6 linked regions of the Coturnix japonica genome follow. The main gene of each other region encodes a partner of the protein of the gene in region 2 in a complex. Links are inferred from orthologs where the notes say so. Each region holds a gene or a part of one and is shown on either strand. Other genes may lie near its edges. The genes, in order: POLR1B, POLR2L, TAF1B, RRN3, GTF2H5 and GTF2E2.

The links.
Region 1: the proteins of POLR2L (region 2) and POLR1B are in contact, whole or in part, in a cryo-EM structure (PDB 7OBA), measured with the Homo sapiens proteins. The link is inferred for Coturnix japonica from reciprocal best matches to the Homo sapiens genes POLR2L and POLR1B. Residues at the interface, in NP_066951.1 of Homo sapiens: Met1, Ile2, Pro4, Arg6, Cys7, Phe8, Thr9, Cys10, Gly11, Trp18, Tyr21, Leu22, Leu25, Gln26, Glu31, Gly32, Arg42, Tyr43, Cys44, Arg46, Arg47, Met48, Leu50, Ala51, His52, Val53, Asp54, Leu55, Glu57, Lys58; in NP_061887.2 of Homo sapiens: Leu16, Leu19, Thr20, Asp21, Pro22, Tyr24, Gly25, Pro27, Ile157, His160, Glu161, Glu162, Ala163, Phe698, Leu701, Thr702, Arg713, Gln715, Thr716, Pro717, Gln718, Ser719, Leu721, Asp733, Asn734, Pro736, Asn740, Ala741, Ile742, Asn760.
Region 3: POLR2L (region 2) and TAF1B share a complex: the UniProt entries of both Homo sapiens proteins name them as parts of the pol I pre-initiation complex. The link is inferred for Coturnix japonica from reciprocal best matches to the Homo sapiens genes POLR2L and TAF1B.
Region 4: POLR2L (region 2) and RRN3 share a complex: the UniProt entries of both Homo sapiens proteins name them as parts of the pol I pre-initiation complex. The link is inferred for Coturnix japonica from reciprocal best matches to the Homo sapiens genes POLR2L and RRN3.
Region 5: POLR2L (region 2) and GTF2H5 share a complex: the UniProt entries of both Homo sapiens proteins name them as parts of the TBP-based Pol II pre-initiation complex. The link is inferred for Coturnix japonica from reciprocal best matches to the Homo sapiens genes POLR2L and GTF2H5.
Region 6: POLR2L (region 2) and GTF2E2 share a complex: the UniProt entries of both Homo sapiens proteins name them as parts of the TBP-based Pol II pre-initiation complex. The link is inferred for Coturnix japonica from reciprocal best matches to the Homo sapiens genes POLR2L and GTF2E2.

The regions. Positions count from the first base shown.
Region 1 is NC_029518.1:13,948,440-13,953,280, forward strand, and holds part of POLR1B (DNA-directed RNA polymerase I subunit RPA2), read left to right. Parts: intron 1-356; coding exon 357-580; intron 581-1,962; coding exon 1,963-2,134; intron 2,135-3,117; coding exon 3,118-3,289; intron 3,290-3,392; coding exon 3,393-3,674; intron 3,675-4,040; coding exon 4,041-4,174; intron 4,175-4,613; coding exon 4,614-4,784; intron 4,785-4,841. UniProt on the Homo sapiens protein: Catalytic core component of RNA polymerase I (Pol I), a DNA-dependent RNA polymerase which synthesizes ribosomal RNA precursors using the four ribonucleoside triphosphates as substrates.
Region 2 is NC_029520.1:8,951,067-8,954,839, reverse strand, and holds POLR2L (DNA-directed RNA polymerases I, II, and III subunit RPABC5), read left to right. Parts: upstream 1-1,942; 5' UTR 1,943-2,025; coding exon 2,026-2,120; intron 2,121-2,263; coding exon 2,264-2,372; 3' UTR 2,373-2,556; downstream 2,557-3,773. UniProt on the Homo sapiens protein: DNA-dependent RNA polymerase catalyzes the transcription of DNA into RNA using the four ribonucleoside triphosphates as substrates.
Region 3 is NC_029518.1:88,001,137-88,006,290, reverse strand, and holds the end of TAF1B (TATA box-binding protein-associated factor RNA polymerase I subunit B), read right to left. Parts: intron 3,675-5,154; coding exon 3,479-3,674; 3' UTR 1,042-3,478; downstream 1-1,041. UniProt on the Homo sapiens protein: Component of RNA polymerase I core factor complex that acts as a GTF2B/TFIIB-like factor and plays a key role in multiple steps during transcription initiation such as pre-initiation complex (PIC) assembly and postpolymerase recruitment events in polymerase I (Pol I) transcription.
Region 4 is NC_029529.1:43,889-49,446, reverse strand, and holds the start of RRN3 (RNA polymerase I-specific transcription initiation factor RRN3), read left to right. Parts: upstream 1-2,116; 5' UTR 2,117-2,174; coding exon 2,175-2,381; intron 2,382-2,770; coding exon 2,771-2,827; intron 2,828-3,934; coding exon 3,935-4,024; intron 4,025-4,109; coding exon 4,110-4,239; intron 4,240-4,706; coding exon 4,707-4,766; intron 4,767-5,558. UniProt on the Homo sapiens protein: Required for efficient transcription initiation by RNA polymerase I (Pol I). Required for the formation of the competent pre-initiation complex (PIC).
Region 5 is NC_029518.1:46,900,080-46,905,438, forward strand, and holds the start of GTF2H5 (general transcription factor IIH subunit 5), read left to right. Parts: upstream 1-1,796; 5' UTR 1,797-1,896; exon of another isoform or gene 1,897-2,023; intron 2,024-2,161; 5' UTR 2,162-2,243; coding exon 2,244-2,278; intron 2,279-4,526; coding exon 4,527-4,707; 3' UTR 4,708-5,359. Other genes in the region: protein SERAC1, read right to left, coding at 582-672. UniProt on the Homo sapiens protein: Component of the general transcription and DNA repair factor IIH (TFIIH) core complex, which is involved in general and transcription-coupled nucleotide excision repair (NER) of damaged DNA and, when complexed to CAK, in RNA transcription by RNA polymerase II.
Region 6 is NC_029519.1:30,653,960-30,658,191, forward strand, and holds the end of GTF2E2 (transcription initiation factor IIE subunit beta), read left to right. Parts: intron 1-1,096; coding exon 1,097-1,212; intron 1,213-2,244; coding exon 2,245-2,361; 3' UTR 2,362-3,169; downstream 3,170-4,232. UniProt on the Homo sapiens protein: Recruits TFIIH to the initiation complex and stimulates the RNA polymerase II C-terminal domain kinase and DNA-dependent ATPase activities of TFIIH. Both TFIIH and TFIIE are required for promoter clearance by RNA polymerase.

The sequences.
Region 1 (4,841 bases), on a different chromosome or scaffold from region 2:
ATTTAAGCATGAGATGTAGAAAATGAATTGCTGAAGCTGAAGTGGATTGTAATAGGCTAAGCTGTCTTTTGACTTCTGTGGAGATAAGGAGTTAACTTGAGACAAAAGAAGCCTTTTAAGATAGAGGATGCAAGTTTGTTTGTTTGTTTTTCCAAGGGTTTTGTTAGACTGGAACCACTTGTGATCATCACCTCATTCATATCCACTGTGCTGCTCTTGAAGTACATTAATCCCACAGTATTTTTCCATTTCCAGAGGACCGAAAACCTAAATCATTGGGGTACCCAACCTCTGCTGTTTTATGGCCAGATACTGCCACGACTGTTCTTCTGATCTGATGTGCATCTGTCTTTCAGGCATTAGTTAATTTCACAGACTACCAGATTTTTGAAGAGCTGGTCAAAGACAAGAAAAACGACTCCTTTTATGTGAACTGTGTTACTGAGATGCTTAGAGCAGTAGCTGAAGCACATTGTTACACGCAACAAAACGTCCTCGATTACCTTGGAAAGAGCTTCAGAGTAAAACTCAACCTTCCCGAGTGGTACAGCAATGAGCAGGCTGCGGATTTCATTTTCAAGTACGTATGTACATGTTTAGGAGTGTGTGCTTGTGCTATTGCATTGAAATTCAAGCAACTTTAGGAATACTCTGCCATATTATTTCACACTCTCATTACGGTTTTTGTACATGCTAATAAAATAGCAGCGGGTGGCCAGTTCTTGGTGGAACTTCAGGATACTGTGATAATCTATTCTGTTCAAGTTGAAAGAAGGGGAAGTTGTGTGGACAGCTTTAGTTTCAATAGGTTGAACCATTAGGGTAATTTGTGGCGTTTTATCTGCTGTTTCACGCAGTCATTAGCAACTATTACGCGAATTACACTTAAATGATAGGAATTGGATGTTTTAAAGTCTCCCTTTTTCAATGGAATAAGTTAGGAAGAAATGGAAGAGAGGGGTTTGAGATTGCCAGCGTGACAAGCATTCAACTAACTTTCTTTTTCGGGTAATACAGATTTTAGTTCTTTGACCAAGTGTTTTAGTAAAGTGTTTTGAAAAGTATCATTTGAGATGCCCAAGTCCTTGAGTACCTGGAAATAAGGAGTAATCATCAGGTGTCTAAAAGCACTGAGGCAATTTTTCAGTGCCTCAGAGAAGCACTTAGAATTGTTGGAAGAACAGCTCTTTGTACTGAGAAACAGCGGATAATTTCAAGAAAGTCATACTGTAATTTTCTTCAGTCTAAATACTCTCGTGCTTTTTGGTGGTGTCTTATTGTCCCGTGGTATGTTCTGTACGCAATGTTTGTCAAAGCTGTCTGCGCTGTGGAGATAAGAGCAATTGTGGAAAGCATCAATTGGGGTGTACTTTGCATTGTAACTTCTACCTGGCCAGAACTTTCTTTGAATGTTTGTTTTTATGGTGAAGTTGTACAGACTTCAGAAGAGGGCGCTATGGAGCAGAGGTACAGAGTGACCAGATCCTGTGTGCTCATATTCTGGAAGGTTGTTGTGCTTACATCTTGGAAAGCAGGTTATTTCTGTTGTCTTGGAAGGCAGTTTAGCAGCTTTACTGCTTGCATTAAAATGTCATTCAGCACACGTTTCCACACAGGGATTTGATTGCAGTGTTCTGTGATCTGTTACTAGTCTCCAGCTTGGATTTTGGGGTGGAGTTGGGCACATGTATATGGTTATGTAGTGGTGTTTGGTGTCATACCTGCTGCAAAATAATGTACAAATCTTATCTCTTAAGTGGGCCTGTGTATGTGAACTGTATACTTGTAAGGATGTGTAGTAGTATATGATATACATTTTTTCCATGAGGCTCACCTTCATGTGATCAACTGGCTGTATCTTTCTAGCAACAGGGGGAAAAAGATTTTGATATTATTTAGCAAACATGAAGAACTGCTGGCGTGACGAGCTGGTGTTAATTGTCCTTCTTTCTCTCCCTCCAGCAAGTGTATCTGCATACATCTGACAGACAGAACTGAAAAATTCTACCTGCTTTGTATGATGACCAGGAAACTGTATGCTTTTGCCAAAGGGGAGTGCATGGAGGACAATCCAGACAGTCTAATGAATCAAGAAGTGCTTACTGCAGGACAGCTTTTCCTTATGTTCTTAAAGGTAAGGTCATAAGGCCTGTGTATGGAGGGGTCATCCAATCTAGGACCTGCAGTGGCCAAGGAGATGGGAGAAATACAGAGCCAAACTGAAGAGCAGGGAGCCTTGGTATACTATAAAGACTTGAATCTAATGCAGCACAGCACGAACCGCACTAAATAGGGGCCTGAGTAAAACATGGAGTGAAAAGCTTTGGGACCTTCAACAGAAATGAAAGCTCAGGCTTGGAGTCTGGCGAAGGAGGAACACCAGCTCGGAGGGTTTTGAAACAGCATATTGCTGTTGTGTCAGTTGATAGATTAGTAATAAAGATCAGCCTCTTTGTGGTGCTCCTGCTGTGTCACACAGCAGATGTGCAAGTAAATAACTGTCCCATCCTCTTTCTTTGAAAATCAGTGATTTATATTGTCATTTCTACCCCGTCTTTGAGTTCTTTTACAGATCAGGAAGTTAGGAGTATACTTCCAATTTACACTGTTAATTTATTACTGGTGGTGTAAAAGTGCAGCTTCCTAAACTATTCCAGTTCACTTTGGATTCAAGTTATTTCTGGCATTTCTTCATTGTAGAATGCCAAAAAGAAAGTAATGCTCAGAAGTGAAATTTGTCAACCCCAAGTAATAAAGCTTCCCTGAGTTACCAGATAACTTGTAATCTTTCTTTGCCATGTTAGCCAAAATCTTTAGCATCGCTTTGTTGAAACAATTCTAAAACTTGTCTACTACATGAGTGGTTTCAATGGCTGTAAAAAGAGAATAAAAAATGAATTATGTGAAGCATTGTAGCACTTTCCCAATCTGGTACCAGGAAGCAGAAGGGATTGCTGTCCTGTCTGGCCCTGTCAGATAAGCAGAGGAGTGAGCAACCTCTCCTGTAAATGCAAAGACTCTAAATAGACTGGCTTTCTGTTGCGTAGATAACTGAGCCACTCATTAAAGTGTCTGTGTTCCTGTATTTAATTCAAGTCTCACATTCTTAAACCACAGGAGAGGCTTGAGAACTGGTTGCAGTCTGTTAAATTCGTTTTGGAGAAGAAAACAGAAAAGGCCAACATCACCATCAATGCAGACAGCTTGATGAAGGCGTTCGGTCTGACCACAGATGTTACCAAGTCATTTGAGTATCTTCTTGCAACTGGTAACCTGCGATCTAAGACTGGTAAGTCTTAAGGTATAAGAAGCCCTTTTTTTTACCTAAACAGCATGAGAAACAACATAAAACTGAGCAACATCCTGATGTAAACCTCTGTTTTGTTCCTCAGGCCTTGGCATGCTGCAGGACAGCGGTCTGTGTGTGGTGGGGGACAAGCTGAATTTTGTTCGCTACCTTTCGCACTTCCGCTGCGTTCACAGAGGGTCAGTGTTTGCCCAGATGAGAACTACCACGGTGCGCAAACTGCTGCCGGAGTCCTGGGGGTTCCTGTGCCCTGTGGACACCCCAGATGGAGAGCCCTGCGGTCTGATGAACCACATGACAGCTGTGTGTGAAATAGTGACAGAGATGGTTCCTGTGACAGACCTTCCACCTATGTTATGTGCTCTAGGTACAGTTTACTTGCTCAGTTATCTAATGAAGCAGTCTTCATTTTTACCTTTCTGCCCTACAAACCCATATGTGGAAAATGTTCTAGTAACTTGAATTAAACTGCAGCTCCTCCAGTGATTAGCACAGTGATGGGAGTTTTGTTTCATCCAGAAGAGTGCTGGGGCTGGATGGGAAATGGCATTCTCACTTGTGCACATTTTATGTTTTCCATCCAGTCTCCTCTACCACTTTGCCCTGTCCAGATGTTCTGAATTTTTTCTGATGGCTCATAAAGCTGTTTTATGTGGATTGAGGCTTCCTGCAGAAATAACGTGCATTTGTCTGCTTTTTTGGCTGTTCCCTCCCCTGCCCCATCTTGTCACAGGTGTCGTCCCCATTGATGCGACCCCAAGCAAGCCGTACGCTGAGTGCTACCGCGTGGTGCTGGATGGTGCAGTGGTGGGCTGGGTCGAATGGGACCTGGCTCCTCAGGTTGCAGAAGCCCTCCGGCGATTCAAGGTTGTCTTCTTTAAAATGTGACTTACCTAAATGTGCTCCATATGCAGTGGCCAGAAATAAACCAAAAGACACCAGAGTTCTAAAGAAGCCTAACTTCTGTTTGCCTTTCAAGTCTGACCTGATAATTTATCTTATTCTGCATGTTAGTATTAGGCTTTTTGTTTTTTCTTGTATTTATTCTAAGTTTGGTCTCCTGGTTTATGATGTTGACACTGTTGTGAGAACTTATTTTTTCAGCATGGTAGAAGTAATCTTGGTGGAGATATTACTAGAAATACCTTCTAAATTTGCTCTTCACCATTTTGTATTAATAGCTACATCCATGGATGGATCCATGCTTGGTAGTTCCATTGTGGGTGTGAACCTAGCCTGTAGGATGCAGCTTAACTAAAACAATATTGGTTTGTATTCCTAAATCAGTGTTCCTTTACACAAACAGATAACACAAGAGAAGAGATTTCCTGCACGGGCCGAAGTGGTCCTTATCCCAATGACAGGAAAACCCAGTCTGTATCCTGGGTTGTTCATCTTCACTACCCCTTGCCGAATGGTGCGGCCTGTCAAAAACTTGCAGTATGGAAGGAAGGAATGGATTGGTACTCTGGAACAGGTAGGTTTGCATATTTCAGTTATAAAGCGCTGCCTGTTACAGCAGTATCCTGCATAG
Region 2 (3,773 bases):
CATCTCCAGCAGTCAAAGCAGGATGTCCAGAAAAGGCAAATTCAAACGCTGTGAAAACAGCAGAGGAAAGTTTCCTTCAAGAGAGATGCAAAGTTGCATGTGAGAACTGGGTGGGAAAGTTAAAACCTGCTTTCGTTTTTAAAAGCTAAACAAGAGCACTTCCTCCGGGCAGCTGCACGAATCCAGCCTACATCAACAATAACCCCCCACCCCACCACCACCATCCTTTCTCCCTCCCATCAGCAAATGTCTGTCTCCAAATACAAACGCCTTGCACGTCACAGTTCAACAAGAAAATTGCTTTGGAGCCCTGGTGCTGAAAACACATCAAAGCATCGTCTCCAAATTCTCAACTTCCCTCCCCCAAAAGAAAAGAAAGCAAAGGAGAAAAAGAAAAGAGAGTTTGGCTCCCACTGGCCTGAAACAACAATAACGATAACAATCTGCAGGAGGTTTCTCCACCCTCCAAGCCAAGCCGTGCTGCTTGCACACAGCTGAGTGCAATCACTCCCCGGGGCTGCAAAAATCGCTGTCTTTTCATTAGGAAACGTTTGCAAAACCTCCTTCAAACAACCTCGCCGGTTAAAACGAAACTATTTGCTCCTCTACAGTTCAAGTTAGGTCTGCGCGGAGGGTCAGCAACCCAGCGGTCCAAAACACAGGCACGAAAGGCGTATTAACATAAGCTGTGCATTAAGACTTTATACGCCTGACAGTAATGGCTCTGCGCCGCGCGCCGTATCAACTCGCAGATGCTCCAGCAGCAAAATACAGTATTTTGGGTGCATCCCCGCTCTGCCCAAGGACAACCGTGAAGCAAGAGGGCACTAAGGACCGACAGCGCTCGGGGTGACGCTTTAACCCAGTCTGTCCCGAACAGCAACGTGCCGCCCTCAAGTTACAAGCATCGCATAGCGCAGCACTCCGCGCGACGCTCACACGGGAGGATCGCACGCGGCTTCACGACGCATCCCCCGCTGCAGCCCAACTTCCCCGGCTGGGGGCAGCCAGTAAAGCTGCAACGCGACGCTCGCGGTGCCACGGCCGCCTCCACCCTCCGGGGAGCGGGATAGCGCCTCAAGGACGGCTTATGCCCCGTTTGCTTTCGCTGCGCGCGGCTCGCCGACAGACCGAGGAACGCTACAGCGGGCAGCCCTGAACCCCCCCACATCACCCCCCACAGCCCCCAGACCCGGAGTTCAGCAACTCCCGACTGACCTGCCGCCGCCACGGGACCGCTAACCTCGCTTACCCCGCTGACCACGGCAGCGCTCCGCAGCCCGGCTTCCTCCAAATGAGCGGGCAACGCCGCGCAAATCGGCGCCGAGCGCAGCTCACGGAGCGCAGCCCCTGCCCGGCTCCTTCCCCTTCCAAAGGGGAGCGAGGACACGGAGCAAACCGCCCCAAATTGGGGACGCCAACACAGCCGCGAGACGGACCGCGCCTGGCGCTACCAGTGCGCGCACCGGGAAGGGAAAGAAAAGGGAGGAAAAGGGAGGGGAGTGCGACGTGCTGCCCCGTCCCACAGCGCTGCCGTGCCCCGCTGGTTGGCGCCGGGCTGCAGCCACCAGTTGCGCTTCCACCCCGCGCGGCTGCGGTACCTCGAGCAGGACGCGATGAAGAAGTGCCTTCTGCAGAAGTCCGGGTGTAAAGCAACAAGTGAGAGCGCGGAAGGAAGGAAGGAGGGAGGGAGGGAAGGGCACGGCGCCTCCTCGGCTCGGCTCAGCCCGCCCCGCCGGTGTCTCCGCTCTGCGCTCCGCCGGCCCCGGCTGCCACCACGCGCCGCGCACGCGAAACGCGATCAGCAGCCCGCCCCGCTCGCAAACACTATTGAGCCGCGCAAGGAGCCGTAGGGCGGCCGCTACCATCCGCCGTCCTGTGCGGGAACGGGGGAGCTCCAGCGCCGCTCTGCATCCTCACGGCTGAGCAAGAACGGCTCGCACCGCCCGTGTCCCCCCGGTGCAGTGGGAGCGGCCGTAGGGCTGCGCTCGGGCAGCTGCAGGAGGAAGCGGCGCTGTGCGAACCATGATCATCCCGGTGCGATGCTTCACGTGCGGCAAGATCGTGGGCAACAAGTGGGAGGCGTATCTCGGGCTCCTGCAGGCGGAGTACACCGAGGGGTGGGTGTCATATTAACAGCACACGCTAATACCTTGCTTTAAACTAAGCTCAGAGCAATCATTGCGTTGCTTAGGAGCACTTACGAGCGGTTCTGACTCGTTTTGTATTTATTTCTTTTAATCGTGTTGTTATTTGTTAATAGAGATGCCCTGGATGCCCTCGGATTGAAGCGCTACTGCTGCCGCAGGATGCTCCTGGCACACGTGGATCTGATTGAGAAGCTGTTGAATTACGCACCGCTGGAGAAATGAGAGTTGATTGACCCAGCCACCAGCTTCTCCCAAGGAAATAAATGAAGGCCGACATCCACTTCACAGCTACAGCTTACATATGTAGATGTTTCTCTTTAATTACATACAGGTTGTTATTGGTTTCTTTTTGTGAACTTTAGGATGCTTTTGCCCGTAAAAAATAAATGTGTTTTATGAAATACAATCATTTGTCTATGTAAAATGTTGAACTAGAGGAAGCCTCTGCCTGTGGCCTTCCTGGAGTTGCTGGGTAGAGTTCAGCATACACTTCCATCTCACTATTTCCTCACAGTGGTCATTTTGAGGTTAGAAATACAGTGTTTGAAGCTAGGGCAATCAAGGGGGGTTAGAAAGAGAGCAAAGTTCCAGGCTCCAGAAACAGCACAGAGGATGTTTGTTTGCTATGAATGAGGCATTACTCTTAGTAGGTTGCAGTGCTAGCGGAGCTCATTTTTTCACTGAAGTCAGCCTATAGTGTCTTGTTAAAAATTGGGGCAGACTGGCAGCTCCATCACAGAAAACAGTAAATCAGGTGGCGCAGTGCTCCTCACTTAGGTAAAATACATCTGAAGGCAATGGATGTGAGAATTAATGCATGTAACTGTGAACAGGATCAGAGTCTTGCCAAACACCTGCACTGCTCTGTTGCTGGTATGAGTGCAAGCTTCCCACTTGTCAGTCATTTCATTGGCTTCATATAGGATGTATGTGCAGCCTGGGACTGCCTGGCCAAAACAACCCACCTTTCCACTGCTTGCTGGATCAGACTTCTCTGCTCAAACCTCAAGAAGAGATTGTCTCAGAAAGAACAGTTAGAGGACAGCCAGCCTCTGGCTATAGCTACTACCCTACCAATCTCTACACTTGATCTAACTTTTCCATTTATTACAATGGGATAGTGGCTAAGTTTTCTCATATTCAGCAGTTCTGCAAAGACACTAAAACCACATACTTCAGCCTAATGCAAAGAGAATTAAGCAACTCTAGTATCCCCTTCAGTTTGCGGGATAGCTTTTGTTCTGTGTGACTGCCATATTACACAACAAAATTCACTTAATAACAACTCTTTCTGGCTGTCTTTAAAAAGGGACACTATGAAATATAAGATGACTGTTTCCAGCTAAAATCCTGTAGGACCTTTCCATGTTACAGCAGAGCATTATGTGGAGATGCATGTAAACTTGCACACAGGAAGCTCCAAATGCCAGGTACTGAGACAGCACAGCAGCCCAGACCGCTGCCTCCAACTGAGGTGGCCAGGCATCAGCACCAAAGGATCAGAGAGCCAACAGAGCTTTGTTTCTTACTCTGAAAGCAAAGCAGATACCAGCACAAGGTTAAGTTAATTGATAAGAAAAGCTGTGACTCTAAAACATTATAACGAAGAAGCAATTTGCAAAA
Region 3 (5,154 bases), on a different chromosome or scaffold from region 2:
CGCGTTCTGCCAAACCTTACTCAGTCTCTTGTTTAACACACGCAGTGCTGAGGAAAGCTCTTTCATCTAGGCCTGTTCCCACACCTTGGCATCCCCTTCGTGCCCTCCCGCACATAACCACGCCAGGAGCAAAACAGCTTTGCAGCGATGAGACCAATAACCTCGGAGGAGATGGTAAAAGTAAGCATTCTGCTCTCAGTGCAAAGACAAAGCACTGAGATGTGCTGCTTTGGCCAATCCACGTGTTAATATACAACCACATGTACCAGGAAGCCCATTTCCTTTTGGACCAAAATGTGAGATTCCTCAAAGAAAGTTATATCCTGGCTCTCCCATACCTCTGATCAGCACAAAACATCCCAGCCTGACACAGGAAAGGGACAGGTTAGCCATGGAGCAGGCATCTATCCAGGACTCCACGTTTCTAAGACTTTACCTTTCCCAAAATGCAGGAGGGTCCAGGGCCTTCTACTTCTGGCCCTGCAAAAGCACCCTTTTGACAACACCCCGTAAACAGCCTAAAATAGCATTTCAGCAAAAGTCTTATTTATCCATCCAGGAAGAAAACTTGGCATTAAGCATTCAGGGGAAGGAACTTTTGAGCTTCCCAGGAAGTTACAAGGAAGTGAGTTACTCACTGTGTTGCCTGCAACACTGCATGAAGCTTTGCCAGATCTTCCAAACACAGCTGTTTCAAGGGACGTGCTACAAATAGGTTAGGAAAGACGTAATTACACCAAGAGCCCATACAACCCAGTATTGACAATAAATTAGACTAGCGTTGCCTGCAGGCACGGGACTTTGCTGATGCTCGCTCTCTTGTTAAATCAAGCTCAGGGCCCTCAGCAAAAGAGGAGAAAGCCAAATATCTCTGCTTCATGTCTGCAAAATGGTAAGAACTTGAGAAAGAAAAAAGTACGTGACAGATTAAGTTGGTAATCAAGAATGCAAACACATGGAGGCAGTGAAAAACTAGTGAGGTAAAATTCCAGCTGTGTTGGCTTCCAAAGAAAATGACTCGTCTGATAGTTCTCCACAGAATCAATAGGAAGGTTGCTTTATTTAAGAAAAATCTTAAAGTATGGTTGCATTTGTACTCTGAATGATAGAAAATAGCATTTAATCTAAGCTTAAAAAAACAACCCACTTAGCTTTAATCTACATAAGAACATTTGACATTTAGCGTTAAAAAAACCAAACCAAACCAACCCTCCTCACTTGGAGACCTGCATTTCCAAGGGGAGAAATACAAAAATGTACATGTCAGAAGGCTCAGGGAGAACTCATAACTCTCAGCAAAGAGCTACAGAAAGAAGCAGTACTTTGAGGTAGGAAGAAGAGGCGGCTGGAACGGGCTGTGGCAGCCACCCTGCCCTGCAGCCAACCGCCTGCAGCTGCTCAACCAACGCCTCCTCCCCAGGGTTACGTTCAGTGGACTCAAAGCAGTTGTCCTAAGAGAGCTGGGCTACACTCTGCTGAAGATAAGGCACAACCATGGCCCATCAGCTTCTTAAACACCATTACTCCAGGATAAGTGTCAATTGATTAAACTGGGTAGAACTAACACTAAGTATTTGAGAGGCACACCCTTAACTTTTAAATCTGACTCTTAACCTATGTGTCCAGGAGGCACATGGCTCTTGATGCTTAATTGCAAGCTTTATTCCAGTTTATTAAAGTAGAACTTTAATTTATTCTAACATCTAAGGGAGCTTTGTTACATTTGTAACAATGTAACGAGTACAGTATTTTAATTTATGAAGCTGAGATTTTACTACTACAGTAGTTTTAAAAGAAATATATACCTATAATTGTCTAAGTCTTTCAAATAAAGACTTCTGAATTAAATGGATCCTTTACATATAATAAAGTGTCTTTTAGATAGCTAATTCTAAACTTTAACAAATACTACAGTAAAACAAATGGGATATGTTCAGTAGTTGGAGCAGGCCCTGTTGAAAGCATTAACTCTTCTGTAGGTTTCTAACTGATAGAAATACTTACAGAGAACAAGAACAAAAGATGGTTTTTCTCCATATTGACCGACTTCAGCAGTTCACTCAGGTGAGGTCAAGCATAACAGCAAACAGCTAATTCTACAATACAGACACCAGACACAACGTCCAATTCAGTCAGTACATTCCATTAATGCAATCACCACTTCAAGGCATCAGAAAGTCCGGAGGTATCCAGCACAACATGGTGATGTGGTCAGACACACTGAACTATACTGCTCAGGAAATACTTAATACAAGTAACAGCTCATTCTGTAATTTCCATCGCAAAACATAGTTTGCTAAAACAGTACTTTCCCATCTGAACATCAGAGTCACATTAAGGGACCGCCGCTCTAAACCCCTGTTCTGTAAGAACTATTTAAAATGTCTAGACAGCACTTTTGTCTATAACACCACCCAGAAACAGCTGCTGATTATGTTACCGATCAAGTGTATTTGGGAACTCCTATACTTGGGAGTGACAGATGGAGTTACTGAATTTTATTTCATTCAACTGAAAGCAGTATTACTCATCTGTATATCTACTCAACATCTCTGTTCAACATATGCATATGTTATGGTGTCTTTCATGTAGTGGTAGCACCCAACTTCATTTATTCCTTGTCTGAGATAGAATAAAAACATGGTGCATAAATAAGTTTGAGCATGAGAAACTGGGAGAATGGCTGAGGCATGAGTGGTGAAAGTGCTATGATACGAAGCAATAAGAAATGAAGTACAACTCAGGAGACCGCAGTGAAAGAAGAGTGACAGGAGGATCTGACCAGCACTGCTGTGTAAGAAACAGGATGGAGGGCTCCAAGTATAAAAGCAGTTACAAAAGCTGTGGAGCCTGGAGTGGAACACAGACCCAAAAGGTTTACACTCAAATGAGAGGCTTAGGCTTAAGAAGAGACAAGGAGATACTTGGGATGCAAGGAGATGTTGAAAGCAGTGCCAGAACTGCCACAACACACAGTTAAGAAACAAAAGCTGAACAACTCACTGTAGAGAAAACATTGTCCACCTGCTCCTTTTATTTGTTAACACACTCTTTCAAAACAAAGTAAACATTACTTTCTAGAAACGAAGTTGCAGTCATACAAGTCAGTAAAAAAATAAGTAGCATTTTAATTGCAAAGCCTTGCAATGCAATTAGATGCCAATGTGCCGTCCAGTACATTCAAAGCATGTACAATTATGTGGAAAAAAAAATGGTAATTTCATAGCTTCCTGTTGGCCCTGCTGCAAAGTGAGGAAATAAACCTTGGTCAACAGTTTCCCGGGTAGCTCACAGCTGGAAACCAGCAACTTCAGTTATGGATAACATGACACTACAGCTAAACTGCAGTAGTAGATGTCAGTACTAAAACCTTAACAGAAGATTTCTATGTAGGCAAAAGCATCGGTATCAGTTTGAATAGCACGGTTTGGGATCAAACCAATTCACACAGCTTCAATACTATAATATTCAGGTCTTTTTACTTCCTTCGGCGTCGCTTTCCGTGTTTTGGCTTTTTAGAGAGTACTTTATTAAAAAGTTTGTGTTCTATCGCACACACCTCTTCGTGGATGGAGGAGGGCTGTATCCTCAGAAGGAAGGAGAAAAGTCCCAGTACAAAATGGTAACTCTTCGGAAAGTCCTCTTCTCTGTAGTGAGCCAAACAACCACACAACCTGAAAAGAAAGAAAGGAAGAAAGCAAGCCCTGAATTACAAGTGCATGTAGTTAGTATTTTGCAAACATTTATATACTCAGTTGTAATCAGAAGAAAACACCAACATTTTATCAATTGTCTAAACCACAATTCTGATCTACCGTGTCAGTTCTGTCCTGAAAAAAACTCAGAGGAGTTCAAAATAGCACAACATCCAGCTGCTTCAATTAAAAAACCCTTTACATTCATATGAAGATTCAGGTGCTATTCCCTGCCTAAACCCTGTGCATCCTCTCGCTTACAAGGTGTTGCCCTGGGATGTGGAGAAGCAGAGATTCCATTTCCCCTCTTGTCTGATTCAGAGCAGCGGTCTTAAATATTCACCAGAACAAGGACTGGAACCTGTCTGTCCCTATTTATGGGCAAGTGTGCTAATTACTAGACTACGGAGTCATTTGCTCACTCCCTCTGGCCCAACACCCATTTACATTTTACCTCAAACTGGAGGAACGGATACACTATTCTGGAGTGCCACAAAAGCCATGGGAGTCACACTTCAGGGTGCAAAGTCACTGCTTAAATCCTCCTGATTAGAAATCTGAATGTAGTTCTCTCACACCAAAGCCTGTCTTATACAGTCTGTCCTCTGCCTGAAAGCCACCAGCTCACAAAAACCAAATTAAATTGTTCATTTCAGTGGTGTCAGAACAAACCAGCTGATTCCATAACCCACGCTAAGTGTCTGTTAAGTTTGAGCTTCATTTATAGGTGCTGTTGGTTGAACCAAACCTGCATGTTTTGGCCAAGAGGAATTAAAACATGTTGTAATGCTCCAGCCTTAACTCTGAGTTTCAGCAACTATAACTTCTCAGGGAGTCTTGTTGTCAGAGCTCATTTTTCACTGGGAGGGCAGGGAAATTATATTGGCTATTTTTAGGCAATGTGTAATTACATCAACATTATAAAGCACCCATCTGATTAACTGGCGTCACACTTTTCACAAGAGTCCCAAAATGCAACCACAAATGCACCATTGTCCCATTTTGTGCTATTCATACTATGAGCAGCACTAAAGAGCTACAAAATTTCCAATACATTTTAATCTGTGACGCAACAAGGGAAAGATCAGTTTTTCTTAACACTTCTCACACCTAATACTTCATTATCTCAAAATAACAAGGGAGATCCTGGAACTTGGACAAACCATCACCTCTGACTGCTACGTTGCAAGGCTGACTGAGCAGAAGGTTCAAACTTCCAGAGTCAGACCAGAGAAGACAACCTTTTTCTTGCAGCACAGTAACTCCAGGCCCCATACCAGTTTGAAGACCATGAAGCACATTGCCAGTCTTGGCTGGACTATCCTACCACTGTTTATCTGCTTGGTCCAATGAAAGATGGACCGCAAGGGCAACACTGTCCTAGTAATAATGCTGTCATAATAATGCTGTCATAGCAGCTATGAAGCACTGAGTCACCTCCGTTGGTGTAGTTGTATAA
Region 4 (5,558 bases), on a different chromosome or scaffold from region 2:
TTCATTTCTCTGAAAATGTTATAGAGAAACCAACATGTTTTCATGTTCTGAAAAGTTATTTTTCCTGACTTCCCTGTAGCTTCAATTGTTAAACTGAGGTGAGTAGAGTAGCAGCTATAAATTAACCTAAAACTTGTGTGCAGCCATTCGCATACTAGCTCTGACAGTTTTCTCTAATTTAGTGTTGCAATTATAGTTATCAAAGTAAATTGAGTACAGCTTTAAGTTTACCGCAAATTACAATGAATCTTCTACCCAGTATCAGATACTTAGTGACTGTGATGGATGGTTGTTAGAATGCCATTTGGCTGCTGACATGTCACTCAAATTATATGAGGTTCAAATGTTTACAATTATGAATAGTATGTACAATTTAATTTTAAATATAGGAGCTGGCACATCAAAAAATAAAGACTGTGTTCTTCGTGGAGGAGTACCATGGTGTTACTAATGATGTATCTAAACAAGGAGGTAAAAAGTGCTTGCTGTGGAGCAGAGCTGTTATAAGCTATGGTATGGGCTGGTGGGTTTTGTTTTATTTTGTTTTTTAATATATAAAATAGTTACTTGTCATGCAGCCTATTGTTTGCATTCTGCATAATGAAGCTTAATACTAAATAGGAGCTGGCAACTCAATTGTTAGTAGCTAATCATTAACAGGTGTTTAGTACTATCTTAGTTTCCTGGTGTCCTTGTCAGCTGCTCAATGCAGCACAAAGTCCATGCAAGGAGCATTTACGTTGTTGACTGCAAAGAATTTGAACACACGTAGGAGTGTGTGTGGTTGCATGAACACAGCTTTATGTCTGTAGCTTGATTCCTTTAGACCTAAAGGACAGTCTGCACCCTTCAAATACAACTATAGTATCATAGTCTCGTGCGGGTTGGAAGGGACCTTAGAGATCATCGAGTCCAACCCCCGGGATTCGAGCCTCTGTGTAGCAGAGCGGCACTTCTACCACTTGCGCCACAGGGGTGATTTGAACCCAGGGCCTCCAGTATTGCAAGGCAGCATTCCTACCACTTGCGCCACCGGGGCACACCATGGTCTCCTATAACCGGGTTTCAGCTTTGTGTTGCTTATACATGAGTCTTTTGTAGCTGGCTAAGCTTTAACGCTTGCTCAAAAGGATACTTCCTTGTGTGACTACCAAAGGACCACATATCTCTCTAATTTATAACCATATTGCAGGGTTAAGTACTTGCTGTTAGGCTCTTTACACCTGTGCTGTAAATGTGGCTTATTATGGGAACATCTTATACAGGGAGAAATGAAATGAAAGTTACTAATGAATTTTCTAACAATCTCTGATGGGACTAATGGGTTCTCCAGGGGGGAAATCGTTGTGGAGGAGCTACTTGTTACAGAGGCGGCCAACCCAGAGGATCAGCAGATGCTACAGCTGGAGAAGGGCTGAGATCTTTTTGTTGCTGTAGCTGGTCTGTGTGAGCCAGGGAACTGTGAAGTATATGGCTGAACTGATGAAGGTTGGGAGCACACTGAACATTACTGAAGGATTATATAGGAAAATGTGTTTTCATTTGTACTTTTCTAAGTTGTTGTGTGAAAGTTGTTGAACGTTTTCATGTTTTTAAATTCCTTCTTAATTATGGTTATGTCCTGAAATATATTCACTTGGAGTGCATTGAGGAACTGGACGGCATCTGTTCATGCAGTGCTCAGTGGTGGGGGAGGAGAAGCCATTACTGCACTGGGACAGGAATGTGGATGCGGTGCTTTGTTGGGAGCGTTTGGAGAACGACAGCAAAAATGAAGTTTCCATGAGGTTTAACTGTCTCTCGGTGCTGGCAGGTGCTTGCTTCCCAGGTTCACATGCTTTTCTGTTCAGACGGCACTCAGCCCTCCTTCAGCAGACTCCATCCCAAGGATCGTGAGGATTCAATTGCGTTTTGTTCGTTTTCTCAGTAAAATGGCTACTCCAGCGTGGCGCTGAGGTCAAATCTGGAGTTAAGATTTCCGAGGAAGCTCTACAGCGCAGCGCCCGGCAGGGGAGCGCGGATAGCGGATAGCGCCCGCCTCGGTCCTCCTGCGCTGCCACCGCCGGGGGCAGTTCCTGCCTTTCCAGCCTCGCCTCTCTATGGTGCGAGAGGAGGAGCGGTCCCCGCTTCCGGTGGGGCCTGGCGCTCTTTTCTGCCGGGTGTGGCGCGTGGTGATGGCTGTGCCGCTGCCTGACTGTGCTGCCGCCCGCGGGACGAGGTGTAGCGCAGTGCGGGGGGGTGCAGGGACTGAGGTGGCTCCGCTTTTCTTCATGCGCGGGGCCGTGACCATGCTCGCGGGGGACGAGTTCATCAGCTCCCCGCCCAAGAAGACCGTGCGGTTCGGCGGCACACTGACAGACATTCTGCTCAAGTACGAACGGGTGAGTGTGTGGCGCGGGACCGGGGCCCACGTGGGCGACGTGTCCTGGTGAGAGCTGGAGCTGAGCTGCCCTGCCCTGTCCGAGGCTCTGGGCTGGTGCCGGGTGGTTCTGCTGTGCGAGCGGAAACTCCTCACAAGCCCGGGCTTGTGTGGAGCGGATGGGACGCCAATGTCTGCAGGGGTTGCTCCGCCTCTCGGACGCGTTCTGCCGCCGCTGCCTCACGTGCTTTGCCCTCGCGTTCTGTGCGTTGTGATTAAACGCTTTTCAGTTGTTGAGATATGTCAGTGAAACGTGGTGTTTTTTGTTGTTGTTGTTTATTTCTTGATGTATGTTTTTTAGTTCCTTTCTAGAAGCGTAACAAGCATCATTTATTTTTCTTCCCCGTGAAGGGTGAAACCACTGACTTTGAGCTGCTAAAGCATCAGCTGTCAGATCCTGACATAAAGGTAAGGTGATGGCATGGGGACACTCAGCTGTCCAAATGTCACTGCACAAGTTGTTTTGGTGCTTAAAAGCAAATCCTTTGCTTTAAATGCCGGATAACGTATAACTGCTTTTTACTTCATAGTAACTGTCAGAAGTAATGAAAAGCAGCTACTGTCTGTTTATGAGCAGATCTTATGTGCAGAATCCTGATAAGTGTTGTCTCATGCTTACTGACTTTGCTTTAGAGTGAGAAACTGTTTTTTGGTGAGATGTTTCTTCCAGACACCATTTTACTAGGTCAGTAGTGCCTGTCTCTACAGATTCCTTAATGTAGGTAAAACCACAACTGCTGACTGTCAGAACCTTTATGTTGTGAATTACTGCCTTTTTCAGCTCTCACTAAGAACTTAGTTAATTGAGCATTAAGATTCTTATGTATCTAGTTGTTACAAGTAGTAATTTCAGGGCTGTTCCTTACAGCTATTGATAGCTACTGTGTTTTTCTATTTCTTTTTTCCTTTTTGTAGTGTTTTAGTTAAACCACACAGTTGTTAGAAGGGTGCTGCAGGAAGCATAATGTTATCTAGATTTTCTTTTCCTTCTAAATAGAGTATTCTGTAAAATACACGTTTTTTTAGCAGATCTTGTGGGGAGAGCAAGCAAAATTAGTGTAAAAATTTCTCCGTATAATTGGTTCTGCTTCCAGATATTTCTTACTTGAATACTTGAATTTTCCTCTGCTTAAACTAAGAGCAAAACCAAAAGGAAAGTAAGATTCTAAGTAAAACAGATACATTGTTTGTGAATGAGGTTTGCATACCTTGCTCAGCTTGTTACATAAACTTCCCATGCAGGCTGTTGGTCGGCCTGTGTGTGTGTATTCTTGCGTTAAAGAATTTTCATTGGTGAGGGTGCAAGTTTAGTTCAAGAAATTTCTTCTGTGCTTGTATGAAAATAATTTTAATTTACAGTCTTAATCTTTGACTTGTGATTCTGTGGGTTTTGCTACTCAAAAAAATTCTATTGTTTTTGGTCATATTTTTATTAAAATAGATTTGTGATTTTTTTATTTTATTTTTTTTAAAATACATATATTATTCCTGTATATTATTCCTGCTTATATTAAGGATGCCCAGATCATTAACTGGCTGCATGAATTTCGAACTTCTGTCACATATCTGACCAAGGACTTCGAGCAACTGGTCAGCGTTTTGCTGGTAAATACTGATTTATTATATGGAAAGGTTAAGAGTTTAGTACTCAAAACATCTGTTTGACACCTTGGTCTTTACTTACTTTCAGAAGCTGCCATGGTTGAGAAGAAGCCGAGAGGTAGTGGAAGAATATCTGGGTTTTCTTGGCAATCTGGTGTCAGCACAAACTGTCCATCTTAGGCCATGCTTGAGCATGATTGTATCCCAGTTTGTTCCTTGTAAGTTTTTTTTTTCCCTCTTAATATTCTTAATTATTTCAAAATAATTATTTTGTATATGAGTTGTGTATGCAGAATTATACATCACAATCTAATTGTATATTTTCTATTGATTACTTTAACTTTAATGACTGGATTGCAGTACAAACCATTTTATGTACCTAGACTTCAGAAGATCTATTCTAATGGGTAACTAAAACTCTAAAGGCTGTTTATTTAAGATGTTTGGGAGGGGGAAGAACTGTGTAATGTTACAACTGAAAAAAAGAGTCTCTAATGGTGATCGTATGAGATGTTCTTAAGAACCTCCTGGTTTTCTGATTGAAACAGTTATTTCAGAAAGTCTTGTGGATAATTTTGATGTTTTAGTCACACTGAAGACTGTTGTCAGTGCACTTCCATTTAGCATTGGAATTGTTGCCTCATAAATTTGCACAGTATTCCAATAATGATCTCATTTTTGGTAGCTCGAATAACCATCAGAGAGGATGATGTGGACATTTCAGATTCTGATGATGATGAAGAAAGTGAGTATGGAAGGAAATATGGCTTACGAATGCTTTTGTAATGCTTTTACTATGTTGGTTTATTTTTGCTAAATTACTTTGCAGGAGTTGATATAAAACTTTAGTAGCTGTACATCCTTAAATTACAAAGTCAGGAATTTTTTTATACTTGAATCAATGGTGTTATGAGTTAATCCTCATTACTTGCAAAATACTGGTATTTACTGGTGCAGTATTTTTAAGATTCAAGCTGAATGTTCAGGAGAGCATTCTTAGTCCTAGATAGTGTCAAAGCCAAAGGATAGGGAGGAGTTGTCTGTTTTCATTTTACTTACTTCAATAAAACTGGTCTGTTTGGGAAATTCTTGAGGCTTTTTGTTGTCTGCTTGTGGTAAACTCAAATACAATTGATATAAATAATGAAAACTATGTGTTTATTGATTAGACAGATTGAATTCTTACAGGATAATTAACTATCTGCATCTTTGTATCTTGAATGCTGTATTGAATTTCAGCTTGGGTTGACATACCTATTCCTCTGGTGTTTGCTTGTGGCACTGTTTGGATTCAAGGGGAAAAAAAAATCATAGAATCACAGAATGGTTTGGGTTGGGAGGGACCTTTAAGATCATCTCATTTCAACCTCCCTGCTGTAGGCAGGGACACCTCCCTCTTGACCAGCTTGTTCAAAGCTCCATCCAGCTTGGCCTTGAATGCTTCCAGGTAGGGGGCACCCACAGTCTCTCTGGGCAACCTGTTCCAGTGTCTCTCCACCCTTACAGTAAAGCATTTCTTCCTAATAATAGCTAGTCC
Region 5 (5,359 bases), on a different chromosome or scaffold from region 2:
AGTTACATGCCAAAGAAATAACTGGCAAAGAAGAAACAAACAAAAAAAATGCAGTGATTCCCATAGAGCAGAAATGGTAAGAAATGTCCTGTCTTTTAGTGCTGGAAAATACACCTTAAAACAAAAATTCTTACAGTTCTATACACAAGGCATTAAAGAAAGCAGAAACTAAGCAGGGATGATCATAGAACTTAAAGAAGAGGAAAAAAAATTCAGTACAGAAGGAGAGAGAAACAAGGTTTGTTCGATTGCTGCTCTGTTACTAACTCTTTATGGATGCAATGCTTTCACTGTGCTAATCATTAAAAAACGACCAAAGATGAAACAGAAGTAATTTAAAATAATTTAATGAGGTTGTATTTTGGTGGGACTTCCATCATCTACATAATCTAGTGTTACTACTGCAATGCAAAGCAAGCCAGAAGCAGACATCCGCTTCAGGAAAATAAAAGCTTTGATCACAAGTTATGTGGAGATTTATGTCTCTTCTTGTCAACTTCATCATGCACAGTGTTACACCCACACAGACCTTTTCTTCTTTTAATAACACCTTTGATTGATACTTACAGAACTGTACTTACTTATATTATTCCAAGATGGGTGGTGTTTGGTGGCTGGGCCAGAAGTTCCTATTTGTCTACAGCAAAATATGCAGTAAGCAGCCACTGACATTCTGTATATTCAGAAAAAGAAAAAAATAAATAAATTGATTTGGCAATTACAACAGAAAACTTGTAGCCATGTTTCCCTTTTTACAGGAAAGGTTGTAAAGCATATTTATGTCATTTTGTGCGTTATAAAGCACTCTAAGTAAAAATTAAAAAGCCTATAAACTCCTGAATTTAGTAGTTTGCATTTTGGTTACAGCAAAAGTTTACAGAAAATCTTCATGCAATTACATATTTGTGCTAATACTGGTAAGTATCCATCTCTGACTACCTGCTCTGCTTTGAGGCAGAGGCATTTTTCTGTGATTCTTTACAGTGATTCTGTGATTCTTTACAGTGAGGGTGACGGAGCACTGGAACAGGCTGCCCAGGGAGGTGGTGGAGTCTCCTTCTCTGGAGATATTCAAGACCCACCTGAACGCCTTCCTGTGTGACATGGTGTAGGGAGCCTGCTTTGGCAGGGGGGTTGGACTCGATGATCTCTAGAGGTCCCTTCCAACCCCTACAATTCTGTGATTCTGTGTGAGGCCTTTTCCAATGTCTTAGTAATCCTCACTTAAACGCATCATGTTCACATGAAGACAGTGCTGAGTACAGCATATGACTTAGTAATTAGCTGTTCATAATTAATTTTATCTTAACACCCAAGTCTTGTATTTTGACTTAGCAGGCTCTAACAACTCATATACATTGTAGGCAAGTCAGATTTGGAAACGTTTGTCTTTTCTTGCTGACATACCCTGTAACATCACAGTTAATAAGGGATGTATTTTAGCATCTACAGATTGAGGTTCAATGAATGTACAGTTGTAGTGTTAAGCAATGAGGCATTTCAGGCCATGTGAAAGCACCGATTACTGTATGCACCAACTTTCTGCCCTGTCTCCTTTCAGCACTGCACTTATCCACTGACTTCATTTATTACATTTCTGATAAGCACGCTCTCCCTGCGGTCGCCTCCGCACAACTGGGGCAATGCCAGCGGCCAGCCCCACGCCAGGAGGGGCTTCAAGGCTGAGGTTTGACAAACACAATCATCGGACCACGGACAGACCCCATCCCTGGCCCCTCCTACTGCCCCGCCGCCATCCCCCTCTCTCCACAGCGCTACCCGTACCTTCCGCTTCCTATCTCCCTTCGCAGCCGGCACCGTCGCTCACGCACTCAACGTCATCACGCCGCACAGTGTCAGGAGGGCAATAGGAGGAGCGAGGGCTGCACTTGCGTAGTACGTGTATGTGGGGGCAGTGGTTGGGCTTGCTGGGCCGGAGCTACTCGTTCGCCGTCCTCGGTTTAACCTAGGGACGGGTTGGAGCCTGTCTGCCTTCGCCCCGGCCGCCTTTCGCAAGGCCACGGTTCGCACACGGCAACGGGAGGCTGGGCTGCTGTCGGAGGAGTGGGTGGGGGGATGGGGCATAGCCGCTCTGGGTGCTGGCGGGGCGAGGGGGGTCCTGGGTCGCTGAGTTCAACTAAAGCGTTTCTTTGTCTTACAGGTTTCATCTGCTGTTATCTGTAACCTCAAACAGGAGTCTTTGCTGCCACCCGCACCTTGCAGCGTTTGTGAGAGCTGCGAGGATGGTGAATGTTCTGAAGGGCGTCCTGATTGAATGGTTAGTGACAGCATCAGCATCTACTCAACTGTTTCTTTAGGACTGGAAATACTTTAGGTGCTTTTAAGAGTCTAGACCCAAAAATGTATTTGCTGTAAACTTCAGCCTGGAGAAGAGAAGGCTGCGGGGTGACTTTATTGCAGCCTTTCAATAACTGAAGGGAACCTACACCCAGGAGGGGAGTAAACTCTTCGAAAGGGCTGACAATAGCAGGACACGGGGCAATAGATCCAAGTTGAAGGAGGAAAGATTTAGGTTGGATGTTAGGGGGAAGTTCTTCACTAGGAGAGTGGTTACGCCCTAGAACAGGCTGCCCAGGGAGGTTGTGGATGCCCCGTCCTTGGAGGTGTTCAAGACCAGGTTGGACGGGGCCCTGGGCAACCTGATCTAGTAAATGTGTATGTTTGGTGGCCCTGCCAGGCAGGGGGGTTGGAACTACATGATCCTTGAGGTCCCTTCCAACCCGGGTCATTCTGTGATTCTGTGACACTGAGCAAACAGACAGATGAAAGGCATGGTTTTTAAGGGAAGAAGGAGAGAGACAGTTGTGGGTAATCTTAATTCCTGACTCATATTTTCAGATATGTTGTTTTCTGCTTAGACTTAACCATCATGTATTCATCTTGTTTGTTATATTGTAAATAATGTTAATTAGTTTTCATCCTGGGTGATGTGTTCTGATTCTAAAGGGAAATTTGTCCATGCTTCGTCTTTTGTTTTCTTTTTTTATCAATTCCAGTTCGCACACTCAAGGCTGGCTACTCTAAAATGAATATGCTCATAATTTCAGACAGTAAGCTGTTCATATCCGTGCAGTCCATTTGTTTCTATACAGTCTGAAGTCCCTAGACTAAGGTTCTGATAAGAATTACCTCCAGGTTAAAGAAAGTGTCACTCAAGGTTTGTGGAGTCATTATATATCATTACATTATGTACAGGATTTCTGCTGTATGTTTAAATTGTAAACATATTAACAGACTGTAACTGCATGAGTGCAGAACATCCTTCATGGTGCATACAGCTGTCTGCCTACTGTGGTTTACTTCTGAGCTGACTGGACATTAGCCAGCTCACATCTGAATGCCTCATAGTTTGGTATGAGCAGCTTGGAGCATGAATTCCACTATCACAAAAAGTTTCTCTGCTCCAATTTGGCTGCGTGCTACTATGCTGATAAACCTGAACGCAAGAAATGGCCTTCCTGCATTTTCTCAAGACACCCAAAGCAGAGTTGTTGACTAGCAAAACAAGAAATTCTAATATCTCAAGCAGACAGTACAGCCTTGTAGTTTTTTTGTAATTTATTTTACTTGCTCTGGAAGATTTGTGTGTTCCTGTACAATATTGTGATCATTTCCCATTTAGTATTAGCTTGAAACTTTATTATCCTCCCTGGAAGGAAATAGTTTGCCTGACAAGAAGTCTGTAGCATCTGTTATGCCATCAGAGTTTGAACAGCCCCTTGGGTAACTCACTTTTATGTTGGCTTTTCTAGCTGCTGGTTGCTTTCTTGTTTCCTTCTTGCCTTTGCATAATGGTAGCTGATGAGTCCATCCTGAGAGCAGATTACAAACCTGTCCCCTTGTTTACTTTTCAGATACCAATTTTTCACAACTCAGCTTTTCCAGGGCATCTTAGGTAAAAAGTCAGCAAGAAGTTTGGAAAAAATAAATACTTCTGAATGTGTTAAACATTAAAGTAAAACATTAAAATAAAACTATGAAATGCTGATAATATACAGATTTCTTCCTTCCCTCTGTATTATTCCAGTATATAGCTAAACTGTTCTGAGGACAAAATCTCAAGGATTATAATCTTCAAATGCTGAATAAGATCGGTGTTTCTGCTGTAACGTACATCTACTGGCACTGAGTGCACTCCTGTATGTTGATTATGTGAAAATATGTGTGTATTGCCTGACATATGCCTGGGCACACCAGCTTATGCTGTCTGGTACTCATAGTGTGTTGGTAAGGTACATCTGAAAGAAACAAGCAAAAATAAACCTCTGTGCACCCATAAAAAAGAGTGTGTGGAAGAAGACTGAGGACCACCCACTTTTGGTATCATTTTCATTGCTTCTTTGTGTAAACCTTGTCTTTCTTCTAACATTCTTTTGATTGCGAGCAGCTCTTGAAGTTGGTACAATTTTCCTAAGAACTTTGAGAATGTCTTAAAAGGATGCTCTTAATTTTTAGCTGTATCTTATTACAATGAGGTGGAATCTGATGTGTATTTGTCTCTGCAGTGACCCAGCAATGAAGCAGTTTCTGCTCTACTTGGATGAGTCAAATGCTTTGGGAAAGAAGTTCATCATACAAGACCTGGATGAAACTCATGTCTTTGTATTAGCAGAGCTGGTTAACTTCCTTCAGGAGAGAGTGGGCGAGTTAATGGACCAAAACTCTTTTCCTATTACTCAGAAGTAAAAAGATGAGAAATGAGATTGCTGCCAATTCTGAAAAAGCAAATTTCAGTAGTTTGGGTTGTTACTGTTTTAATAGACTGTGGTTAGTAAGTTCTGCATTAAAGTGGCTATTTCAGAAAGTGAGTAATTTTCATAGCCAAAATACTCTTGAACTGAATTTTATTTCTCACTTTGAAATATTATAGTGTCTTTATTAAAATCCATAAAATGATACACTTAAGAACATGCAGAGGGGTCTTTTTGATGCGTGATTTCTGGTTTTCCTTTAGAGTTATCTTGTGAAATGGTATGACCCAGAAATGAGTGATGTTTCTGTATTGGAATCCCTTATGAACCTTTCTGATGTGTTATATTCCTGTGGAATTGATTAAATTTGCTTATAGAGTGACTGATTGAATGTAAAGCAAGTCTGTGCTTGATGGAGCATCCCCATACATTGGAGGCATGGTCAGATGAAATCAAATACTTCTTTAACTTTATGAGTTTTGGATACCAAAATAATAGTTTGGCTTTATTTTTTTGTCACACATGTTACACGTACCTCATAATAATTACCTACTTTTACCAGCATTAACATTTCTGTGTTGTTCTGAGTTTGGGGAGTGGTGGTGAGGATTTAAGGTTTTGACACCGGGTGAATCGTGCATCATAAC
Region 6 (4,232 bases), on a different chromosome or scaffold from region 2:
AGCCCAAGTGCAGGGTGGAATTCTGCTCTTTACAGCTCTATACAGGACCATTTAGTTGCAGTGTGCCCAGAGCTGGTGTGTTTGTGGCAGATTGTCACTGGAGTGTTTCATCGCCTGCTGCATAGGACAACTTCTTACGCATGCAGAAGTTGTGGTTGTTTTGACAACTGTATACAAAATTTATCTGGAAATAAAGGGGAAAATTTAGTCTTGCGTTGCTATGTGCGCCTTGTGTTTTATTTATAGATTGTTAGCCAAACCTGCTGACAGGATATATCTAACTGACTGCCTGGGGAATGAAGGGAGGTAGAACTGTACCAGCCGCTGCCGGGAGAAGGCATTCCAGAGGCTCTGTGAAACTTTACATGAGGCAGAAAGTGCTCAGGCAGATGGCAGCTGCTCTAATTAAGACTTACTGTCTCTGCTTTTTTTCCTGCTGCTGTGGTTTTTAAGGTATCTCTCTTCTTTTTAACATCAGAAGAATTCTAGTAATTTATTATCCATACGGCATGGTATGTATTAGATTACAGCGATAAACGAGCTTGCAACTGCTGAAGTTAAATGTCTTCAATCTTCAGTAAATTGGACTAAGAGATGGCAAGTCTCCCATGACAATGGCAGTGGAAGATGTGTAAATGAAGTTGCCATTTATGGTTAGTTATTACCTTTCACCAGGATCATTTGAACTGAGGCTTATAAAACACACTAACAGTCTGCTCTGCCACGGGGGTGCTAGGCAGAAGGATGAATGCTGCAGAAAATTACCATTAAACAGACACATTTTGTCTGTGGGTGCCCCTGAAGCTGGGATGCTGGGGTACGCCTAATGCAGATGTGAATCAGCTCATCTTTTTCCATGAAGCACTGGGAGCTTTTGTTGGTGGTGGGTTTTGGAAGTGCATCCAACTTTAAGAGTGGGTAAAGGCTGTGCTAATTGGGTGCCTGCTGGCAGCAAAAACTGCATTGCAGGCTGCTGTATCAGAGTACTTCAGTGTCAGAACTCAGATCTGTTTCTTCTTTCCTTTCGTGCAAGGGCTTTGCCTATGGTTTGGTTTGTTCACTGAGTTGTGAAACAAGGGTTTGTTTCGTGTTTCAGAGTTTCGGAAGCTGTGGAGGAGCATTCCCATGGATTCTATAGATGAGGACAAAGTTGAAGAGTACCTGAAACGACAGGGTATTTCTTCCATGCGAGAAGCTGGACCGAGGAGAATAGTAAGAAATACAAATTGCAGATCTTTCTGAAAAATTCCCCCCCTTGCTGACCCTCCTTGCTGATGTTAATTCCTGCGCCTATGCACAGCTGCTTTATGTAGCTCAAGGAAGTGCAACCAATTTTAAGAAGCTTCAAAAAAACAATGCTGAAGCCAGCAGCCAGTGTTTTTGTAACTCGTTTCAGCCAGCGTAATCCCAGCAACATCAAGAAGAGGGCAAATGCCAAAAATCCCTGAGAACTCCAAAGTAGAAGCTTCTCCTTAAAGCTGTACAGTACGTTAGGAGCAAAACAATAGCAGCTCTTTTGGGAGAAGATTTTCTCTTCCCTTTTTCTTTTCTGCTGAACAGCCTTGAAAACGCTGATAGGAATTGTGTAACCCGCCTCCCACCACTCTTGGGCTGTTCCCCAGACAGAGTGCAATGTGCTCATGCTTTACTGGTGGGCCAGAATGGCAACAAGATCTCCAAAGATGCTTTCTTCCTGGCTTAGAACAAGTTTGCTGTTTTTTCTTTTTACATTTACTGATACATGGTTTACCATCTCTTTTCTCTTCTGCTCCTGGCTTCAGACTGGCCCTTCACAAAGCCCTTCCACACAGGATCTGTTCTTGGTTTCTGCCATTGCTACAGTGGATGTTATAATATGTGCTGTAATGTGGGCACTTCTCTTGTGTTCCGCTTATTCTCTATGTGTCTTTGAGCACATCATTGTAGCTATGGGCTGTCTGCCTTCTTCGGTAGCTCTCTGGGAGTGTTCAGAAATCCCACTTTCAAACAAATGCCAGCTCTCCTACAGTGCACAAGATACCAGGAGGCTCTGCCGCATCCCCAGTGCCAATTCCCCGCCAAGATATGAATTCAGTGCAGTTGCTTCCTGCATAAAGACAGTTCGCCTCCTGCCTACTCCTTCTTTGCACACAGCTCCCCTTTGCAGTGAGGTTAATGCTGCAGGTAGCACAGTGTGTCCCACCTCAGGTCGGATGCTGCAGCTGGAAGGCAGATCTTTTAACTGCCATTTATTTCTTCCTTTAGGCTCCTGCTCAGAGGAAGAAACCCACTTCTCAGAAGAAACGTCGATTTAAGACTCACAATGACCATTTGGCTGGAGTCTTGAAAGATTACTCTGATGTCACTTCTGGCCAACAGTGACTGGCTGAATTTTGAAGCAAACAGACGTTTTTCCACAGGCTTTTTGCCACTCAGGCTCAGCGACTGCTTGCAGGAAGACTGACTCTGTACAGTAATGTGATGTGTTTCCCTCATCCCAGTGGCTGACAAGATGGAGCAGATCTGTTTAAAAGCAAGTTTGGACTACTAAATTTAGAGATTAATTTAATTAGCTAATTGGAAATGTGTCTTCAAATAAAAGGTTCGCTCAAATTGCCTCTTGGCATAGAGTGATAAATGGTGCTCAACATGAAATACAGGAGTTCCTGTTCACTGCTTAACTCTGCTTTTACATTGCTTAATGGGTGTTTACCTGGAATTACTTCAGAGGAGCTTTCGTAGAATTGAATACAGCATTGTTGTACCTATTTCAGGGAAACCTATTCCTAAAATCACTGCAGGCGAGTTTCTTTTACAGTCAAATATGCCCACAGTTTGTGTGTTCCTGCCTTGCTATGGAGTTGAACTTTACCAAACTGATGGTACCTGAGGTTCTGACTTGGAACAAACCCTCTCCAGAGCTCCAGGCAGGCTGCAGGGGGGCACTGCAGCTGCTGCTTCTCGATGCTCATCAGAAATTGCTCTCAGCTGTTTCTCCTCACTGCAGCAGATGCAGCTCTGTTGCACAGGCGATTTCTCCTCACTGTAGTGAATGTACCTGTGTTGCACAGTCCTACTGTTGGGTAGGGGAAATAAATTGACAGTGTAATACTGCAACTTTTTTCTTTTTTTTTCTTTTTTAAGTTAATAAACTTACAGTGCTTGTTTCCAGTGTTTCTTCCTTAAAGAACATGAGAGCGTGTACTTGTGTTTTCCTTTTCAAAGAGGTAAAGGAGTCTTTGGTGTGTTTTAATCTTCTCAATGACTTATTGTTCTGGGCTAACCCTGTCATCTCTCATCATTCTTGTTTGGAGGAGGGAGAAAACCACCTTAAATGAAAGCTCGCTGTAGATGCCTCATGTCGGTTGCAGTACAGACTGCCTAACATGGAGTGTAGCCAAATTATGTCTTCTTGATAACTTATTTTTATGTACTGAACCAAAGTCAGTCAATGCTGATATTGTTTTCACAGTGCTGCTGCAGAGGGGCTGTTCCTCAGCTCTTCTGGGGTTAGGATCAAAGATGAAACAGATGAGTGTGATACCTGCCAACAGTTTGCCGCTGCCTGCGCATGAGCTGCTGTCTTGCCTAATGTATCAGGATTGGAGCAGAGGCCGCTGGATCTGGGCACACCAACAGATGAAGAATAAGGCTTTGTTGGTGGAGTGCTGAACAGATTACGTCTGCTTGGGAAAGCGCAGGAGGAAAAATAAACTTCTGTAAGTGTAGCATTTATCCTTCTGTATAGTACACAAGCTTTTTAGAGTGTGCTCTTTTGTGAAACAGGCACTTTGAACATGGTACATGTCAGTCCTGTGTAAAGAGATGCTCAACACCAGTAGGAGGTTCCTTTTATATTTATATGTGTATATATAAAAAGCAGGCAGCATGCTGGTTTTGAAACCTGTTCTTTCCCTTTTCTTCCAGGTTAGCACAAGTGATTCATCTTGGAGCTTTTTACTTTTCCATTACAGCTCTGCTTTAAAGCACCCATGGCACACCTGCAAAACTGTTCTTTTCTGTCATCTTTGTTCAATGACAAAGATTCCCTTCTGCCTGCTGCATTTTTTTGAGCCGTGCTTTTCCTAGTGGTGTTGCTTGGACAAAAGCAGAGCTCTTGGTGAGCTGTGAGTTGCTTTTCATGCCTTAATGGAGTACCTTCCCAGTCATCTTGCACAGCCTGGCCCTGTGCTGTGGGCTGAAGCTTGCAAGGCAGGCTGTGATGCAGTTACCTGTGCAGTTTCTCCGCTGAA